2 linked regions of the Coturnix japonica genome follow. Each later gene encodes a partner of the first gene's protein in a complex. Links are inferred from orthologs where the notes say so. Each region holds a gene or a part of one and is shown in the gene's direction. Other genes may lie near its edges.

Evidence for each region.
Region 2: BDP1 (region 1) and BRF2 share a complex: the UniProt entries of both Homo sapiens proteins name them as parts of the TFIIIB complex. The link is inferred for Coturnix japonica from reciprocal best matches to the Homo sapiens genes BDP1 and BRF2.

What each region holds. Positions count from the first base shown.
Region 1 is NC_029547.1:64,468,993-64,472,639, forward strand, and holds part of BDP1 (transcription factor TFIIIB component B'' homolog), read left to right. Parts: coding exon 1-211; intron 212-525; coding exon 526-635; intron 636-1,307; coding exon 1,308-1,367; intron 1,368-1,732; coding exon 1,733-1,873; intron 1,874-2,398; coding exon 2,399-2,532; intron 2,533-3,308; coding exon 3,309-3,403; intron 3,404-3,647. UniProt on the Homo sapiens protein: General activator of RNA polymerase III transcription. Requires for transcription from all three types of polymerase III promoters. Requires for transcription of genes with internal promoter elements and with promoter elements upstream of the initiation site.
Region 2 is NC_029537.1:3,589,240-3,593,453, reverse strand, and holds the start of BRF2 (transcription factor IIIB 50 kDa subunit), read left to right. Parts: upstream 1-1,376; 5' UTR 1,377-1,564; coding exon 1,565-1,718; intron 1,719-1,802; coding exon 1,803-1,862; intron 1,863-2,412; coding exon 2,413-2,734; intron 2,735-3,078; coding exon 3,079-3,790; 3' UTR 3,791-4,214. UniProt on the Homo sapiens protein: General activator of RNA polymerase III transcription. Factor exclusively required for RNA polymerase III transcription of genes with promoter elements upstream of the initiation sites.

The sequences.
Region 1 (3,647 bases):
TGCTGCTCAAAAAAATGATGATACCTTAAAAAATTTACCCTCCCCACTTAAGGAAAGACCAACACAGGAAACGTCAGTGGCACAGGAGGAAAAGCTACCTCCAAAACCATCTCCTGTGAAAGAGAAACGAATATGTTCTGACCGTGAAAGGATCCTCAAAGCTCGGAAGTTAAGAGAAATGCTTAAAGAAGAGCTGAAGAAAGAGCGGATGGTAAGCCTCTACCTTGGGATTTGGGATTTCTTGCATCTTTTAGACCTTCACAAACTGAGTTATGTGGCTTAGCTCTGCCAAGCATTGAATATCTCTGAGAGGGTAAATCTCTTAAGGGATATGTAGTCTCCACTCTGATAAATATACTCTTTTCATAAACTAACCAGTTCAGTGTGAAAAGAACAAAAAAACAACCCTCAAATCCCACCAACAAAATAACAAACTTCATTTTACTAGGGTACGTAACAAACAAATGCTATATATGAAATGAAAAGTACTTCCTTGTTGAAATTAAGTTTTTTGTTTTTATACAGAAAGAGTTGAAACACAGGCCTCCAATAATTGAAGGATGTTCTCCACCAGATCGCTCTAAAATGACCATGAGAGACTTGATATACTACCTACCAGAAAACAATCCAATGAAGTAAGTGTGGCTTTTTTCCTTCCTGGGTTGAATGATTCTTTTTCTGTTTAATGATTATGAGGAGAATTCTCAAATCTGGAGTGTTAGCACAGATGCAGTATTATTATAATGGCAACAAAAGCTTCTAAGCACTTTCATATAGAAATTAGATGTAATGACTGGTTATAGCCCATTCATCTGTCTCCTGCTCCAATCATATGCATTTCACCATCCTTATTCCATACTGATCCATCAGGATCACTGTTTCTCCCTCCCTTGGACCCCTCACTTAAATATATCACAATAAATTTACATAGTTGTGCAACCTTCTGAATGCATTATGTAAAAGACAGTCACCCTCACTTGAGAAGTGAGTCCACATGAACCTAGTGAGATTCAGTACGGCAAAATGTTGCTTTTGGTTGGGGGGGGCAATCCTGTATATGTGTACAGATGGGGAGAATAATTACAAAATGGAAGAGGTTGGAAGGGGCTTTGCAGTTCCAGCCCCCCTGCTGTGGGCAGGGTTACCACCCATTAGATCAGGCTGCTCTGGGCAAGTTCAGATATAGAAAGAGTTGAAAATCAGAGTTTATGTTTTGTTGCTTGTTTATGCATTATCCAGTGAAAGTGGGTTTGAGGGAATGAAGCAGAAATATATCAGTATAAACTGGCGTCTCTTAAAAATTCTAGGTCTTCGTTAGCAGAAGAGAAGAGGACAGAAAAGAGTTCTACTCTGGGTCAAATGAAAGAGTAAGTCTTAGAGATGAAGGTACTTAGATTAAAAAAAAAAGTCGTCTGATATTGGAAAATAGAATGTGTAAATGTAGTAGTATTAATAACATTACATCTTCATTTACTGTTTCAATATCATAGCCCTTCTTTAAAACAAGCTGTGAGAGTGTTTTGTAAAAGACCCTCTTGCTTTTCATATTACAATTTTGAACTTGTCCATCACACAACAGAATGAAAAGCAGATTTCAGAGTCTGCATGAGCTTGACATGTTTATGGGTTGTATTTTAAGTGGTTAATTAAATTGTTGAGCATTTGGCCTACAGAGCAACAATTTGGTGGAGTGCTACCAAAAGTCATACAACTTTTCTATTTAATATTGTAGACAGGAAGAGAAAAGTACTCCCGATCATGAAGAGGAAGATGAGGAGGAGGCAGAGAATGAGGAGGAAGGTCAGGATGGTCCACTTCTAGTTCCTCGTGTGAAAGTAGCCGAAGATGGTTCAATTATTCTGGATGAAGAGAGGTAAGTTCTGTGTTTGACTCGTGGACAACAGGTGCTAGATGCTTCTTTTTTTTGTAGATAGGATTGTTGTTTGAGTGAGGGAGACCCAAGCGTATGATGTGATGAGAGTTGAGCTGTGCTAATATAGAGGACAGTGCAAATATACAGCAATATATGAGCAACAATTATTTGTGTCTCAGTAGTGGCAAACTTCCTCTGAAAAACACGTTTTGAGGAAGGAGATAGCAAGGAAGATGTCATGCTTTGTAAGAGGGCTGAATGTTTGTTAAGGTGATTTTAATTTTAAAAGATATTTTAATTATCTGTCTTTGTACTATATCTAATAAAAAGGGAAAACCAAATTTGCTTGCACAGTCTGAGTAATCTAATGCTTTTTACCACATTCTTCCATTAAAATAAACAGTAAGGTAGTTACAGTGGATAACAATGCATCCTGACTTATGGCAGGAAAAGTCTAAGTAGTTGGCCTTTAAATGTTATATGTGTATCTTGCTTGTCAAATGCCTTTTGTCTTTGCTTTTGTAGTTTAACTGTAGAAGTTCTAAGAACAAAAGGTCCCTGTGTTGTAGAAGAAAATGATCCTATTTTTGAACGTGGCTCTACAACTACATATTCCAGCTTCAGGAAAAGCTTTTATACCAAACCATGGTCAAATAAAGGTGGGTGTACCTTTGGTTTCATGTTTTGCATCAGCACAAAGATGTTTTCCACCAGTGCTTTATGCTTAACAAATTTTATTCCCAGTGAAGTTTATGGATCTGCTTAAGCCTGACATTCCACACCTAAGTTCTTTAAACAAGCAGAGCTCTGATTTTTGTCTGTGAAAATAGGAATGTTTAAAGAAATCCAGTGCATTTTGTAGGATACTCATGACTATTTCTGTTATGGAAATTTAGATACCATGGAAATGCTTGCCTTTTTCAGATGGGTAATTTTGGCTTGGGTTATCAAGATATCTGAGCTCAGTATGGAACAGGTAGCCTTTCTTAGCAACTCTTCTAATGGGTTCTTCCAGCATGGGCGGAAATAAGTTGTTTCTACATTATATTTTTCTAATGCATACAGAAGATATGTTTTTCTGTTTTGTTGTTTTTCTGTTATAACTAGCTCTGTTGTTATAACAGAATCATGGCTGATCATGGCTGACAGCACTGTGCAAAACTTCTTATCATTTTTTAATAACTCATATGGAAAAGTTAGCTTCAGAATATACTGTGCTGCTCTTGGGATGGGCTATTACCCTATTTACAAGGAATAGTAACAGTGTGTTTTAGGTGTTATTTGCCTGGTTCCTGTTTGAGGTTGTGTTCATAATAACAGTAATCACTAGCACTTTGAAATGAGTTAACTTTTATTTACTAGCTATCTACAGAACATATTTAATATTGTGCAGTTATGTGTATGTATAGCTATGTATCTTTTCCTTCTTCCCCAGAAACAGACATGTTCTTTTTAGCTATCAGTATGGTTGGAACGGACTTCTCCTTGATTGGACAATTGTTTCCTCACAGAGCCAGAGCAGAAATTAAGGTATAGGTTAAAGCACTTAATGCAACAATTACGCATCTTGTTTCAATTTTCTATTCCTATTATTCTGTTACTATGATTCCTATTAGTACTGATCACATTAGTGCTAATCGTCTCTGTAGAAATTATATTTTAATGTTTCCAGGAGATAAGAATCTCAATTATGAATATACTGACATGAATTCTGAACAGAATATCTTCTAAATCTTACCTATTTGAGCACAGTTTGCCTTGTCTTTATTTTTAA
Region 2 (4,214 bases), on another chromosome or scaffold:
AGTGCTCCTGCCTTCCGTGGTTGAGGTAATCTATTAATTAGGTCACTCCTGATGTAGCCTGAAAGGAGTTTCTAACACAGTTTTCCTACAGTGAAGCACTTTATTGAGGGATTAATTATTAACCTCTTAGTAGTCTTAATAGTCTTACTATTGTCATAAAACACTGAAAATTACTGGAGACTTCTCAAATGAATACTGTATTTTTGTAGTGAAAAGTAGTTAATATATTATCCTAGAGATGTACACGTTGATTGGAAACTCAAAGCTGTTAATCATGTTTCCTTACTGTAATTGGGCTGACTGCTGAAGTCTACCCTGGCAATCAAAGCTCTCCTGCGTGAGAAGCTCAAGTTGAAGCAAAACCTTTTGCTTTAAGTGTCTTTAAGAGTCTCTGAAGACTCCAGGTTGGTACTTGGGGCTCTGAGATGCACAAGTTCTGAGCAGCACCTTTGGGTGGCACTGCTTTGTGTTGCTTGGAATGGATGCTGCTCCCAGTGCCTTGAAATAGCAGCGGGATGGAGGAGTGCTTTGTTTCCTCCCCGCAGATCTCTGGAAAGAAATAGTTCTTTATACCTCATAGATAAACTTGTCTTCTAGGCTTTATTCCATTACTTTATCCTGGTTTAGAGAGTCAGAAAACCAGCAGTGCCTTTTGAACATCATAACCATTCGGAATGACAGATGCTGTTGTTGGTAGTTATCACTGGACATGGGCTGAGAAAGGCCTGATGTGCTTCTATGGATCTCATTTTAGCAGTGAGGGCAATGCTGTGTGTATGATGCTGTGCACAGCGCTCTTTGCACTCTGGATCTCTTCAAGTTTTAACATTGCATTCCTTTTGCATCTCAACGTTCTGCACAGGAACAGAATGGCATTGTATGCTAATAACTCACCTTAAAGACAGAGCCTTAAACCTTGTACTGTCCTTTGCCATTTACCACTATCACTGAGGCAATACGACCTCAGCACTGTGTGTTATTATCCCCTGTGGTGACAGGTGCTGCAGGCAGCGCTCCTGGATGAGCCACATTTCCATTCCACAGCTGTGAAATCATGGCACAACCCTCACACCACCATCTACGGTCTATTTAAAGCCTTTCTTTGGTGTCAGGGGTGCTCACCTTGATTTTAAGGGCCTTAAGAATTGCTTGATATTCCTGAATGACCTCAATGTATGTTGATACGGTCTTTTATCGCGGGTACTGTTTGTTTTTAAACACCCTTTGGGTTTTATGGAACACTACAATAAAATTACCTTAATTCCAATGTCCTCATGGCTGTGTTTTCCCTTTAGCAGAGCTGTGGATGTCATAGCAGAGCTACATTCATTCCAATATCCTCATGGCTGTGTTTTCCCTTTAGCAGAGCTGTTGGTGTCTGACTGAGAGCAGGTTTGTGATGGCTAACAGCTCCTAATTGAGTTGCTCTATATCAGAGCTCTGCTGCTCCTCGTGGTGCCGGAACGCAGCGCTCTACGAGCTGCTCTCCACCCGGACCATGCTCGGCTTGCACCGCCCGGTGCCGTGATAGGCTGTAACCGGTACAACCCCTATTTGGTTCCTAATGGCGGATCGCGGTTTGTGCCCTGAGTGCGGCTCCGCGGCGCTGCTGGAGGACGCTCATTACGCGCAGCAGCAGCTGGTTTGCGCCGCGTGTGGCTGCGTGTTGGCCGAGGGGCTGCTGACCACCACGTACAGCGATGAAGGGCAGCTGCGAGGTGAGGGTTGTGCCGGGGGGGGGGGGATCCGCTCTACGCGTTGCTGAGCTGGGCTCTGATTTGCTGCTTGTTTGTTTCTTTCAGAGGTGGCTTATTCGCAGAGCACAGGGCAGAAGGAGCAGCTGAACCGATGCGAGCAGAGAGGTAAGGCTGGAAGGCACCACCTTTGGGTAACCAATGGCAGTGCATCGCTTGCAAACTGCTCCTATCCAGCCTAAACCTTTCCCTTTGAACCCCCCCCTTCCTCATATCCAGCCTAAACCTTTCCCTTTGAACCCCCCCTTCCTCATATCCAGCCTAAACCTTTCCCTTTGAACCCCCCCCTTCCTCATATCCAGCCTAAACCTTTCCCTTTGAACCCCCCCCCTTGCCCTGTCACAGCCCCCTTCATCCTTTGTATACCCCTTTGTTCCTTACAGCCCCTTGGATACCATAGGGCTGCTCTCAGGTCTGCCCAAAGCCTTCCCTTCCCCAGCTTTGCAGTCTCCATACCTGGCCTTGCAGAGCAGTTCTCCATCCCTTGCGTCATCCCTGCTTTGCTATATGCTAACACATCTCTGAAATGGTGAAAGCTTTCATGAGCTGGCAGTTAAACATGAAAGGAGGAGTTAGTTCTCTATGCATTAACATCCCTGTGAGGTTACTGCATAAGGATGAGTTCGTGCAGCTCCTTAAGGGCAGTTTCTTTCCTCAGGGATCAGAAGGGTCCAGGATCTCTGTAAGGTTCTTCGGCTCCCGTCGGTGTTTGAAGGCACGGCCGTGTCCTACCTGCAGAGAGCACTGCAGCATCCCTCCTTCCGCCTGCTCAGCCTGGAGAAGAAGGAGCTCCTGGTGGGCTGCTGCGTGCTGGCGACCTGTCGGCAACACAACTGGCCACTGACACTGGGAACAATCTGCTCCCTCCTTTATGCAAAGCAGGAACTGGTCACCAGCGTCTACCTAAGCCTTCAGAAGGAGCTCAGGATCTCAGTGCCGGCGCTGAGCCTTATGGATCTGGTGAAGACACACCTTAACAGGTAACAGCCATCCATCGTGGCCCATGTGGTGCTCTGTGCACAACACCTGTTTGTGCTGAAGCTTCCAGAATGCAGTTGCTGCAGGAAGCTGTTTGGAGAGTGGGCAGTGCAGGACTTAAACATGGGGAGCTTAAGGACCTTGCCTTTAAGGACCTTGCCTTTAAGGACCTTGCCTTTAAGGACCTTGCCTTTAAGGACCTTGCTGTGACCTTCTCTGTGTTTATTTAGAGGGATGACTGGCATCAGTGGCTGCCACTATGGTGGAGTATAAGTCTGAGCTGTGTTGCTGTAACCAGGTCCTGAAGCTGTTCCTAGTGCTAACAGTGGGTTTTCTCCTCTTCCAGTTTCCAGCTGTTCCAGCACACAGAGGACATCCCTGCCCAGTTTGTGGAGGACAAGGAGGCGATGCTTGCCCGGACCATGCAGGTGGTGGAACTGGCAAGTGAGACGTGGCTGGTGACAGGTCGGCATCCCATCCCCATCGTCACAGCTGCAGCCTTCCTGTCCTGGCAGTCCCTGCGGCCCTCTGCCCGCCTCACCTGCACGTTCACACAGTTCTGCAAGGCAGCAGGCATTGATCTGCCCCCCCCGGCACGCCTGAGGCTGAAGGAGCTTTATGAAATCCTCCTGAGGATGGCAGCTGAGCTTGCTTGGCTGAAGGTGCTTAACTTGGACAAGAAGACGGTGGTCAAATACATTGGGGATCTGCTGCAGCATCGGATCTTCCTGCTGAAAAATGCCTTCTGTGCGGTGGATGTGGAGGAGCAGCAGAGGGCAGCCCAGGCTGAGGACTCCTCTAGCAATACTCCAGCAGCAGCAGGGACAGCACTGGATAAGGGCGGCCCCTCGGAAGGGAAACAGAAGGCTGAGGGCAGCCGGAGGCCCTTACTGCCACCCTGCCTCCTCCATCCAAAGAAGAGACTGCGCACTGCAGCCTTGAGTGCTTCGGATGCTGCCATCACTGGAGATGAGCCCATCTCTGACAGTGAAATAGAGCAGTACCTGAGGGGCCCGGAGGAGATCCGGGCATTCAGGAGGGCCAAAGTGTGGCAGTGAAGATGAGCATCACTGGAACAACACCACTGGAGCACCAGAGACTGGAGCCAAAAGCATCAATCCTGATGGTTAAAGAGTCATTCCATGCTGCAGGGACAGTCATCTGTGGATACGTGGTGAGTGGGAGGAGTGGGCAATGGTTTATTACACTAGACCAAGATAAGTCATTTTAATTAGAAGTAAATAGAATACAGGGGCCAGGAATGGGGTTTCAGCTTGACAGGAGCTGGGAAACCACTGGGGATCTGCAGCAAAGGGACAGCACTGGGGTGTGTGAGCACAGACAGCGCTGGAGGATGCAGACACAGCACTGCTGGCTGTTCACTTTGGACACCATGAAGCATTGACCTCTGTCTGCCTAATAGGCTGTTGTATTTGAATGCAAACTCTGCGAGAAATCACAGTTCATTTGGCAGATTTGCAA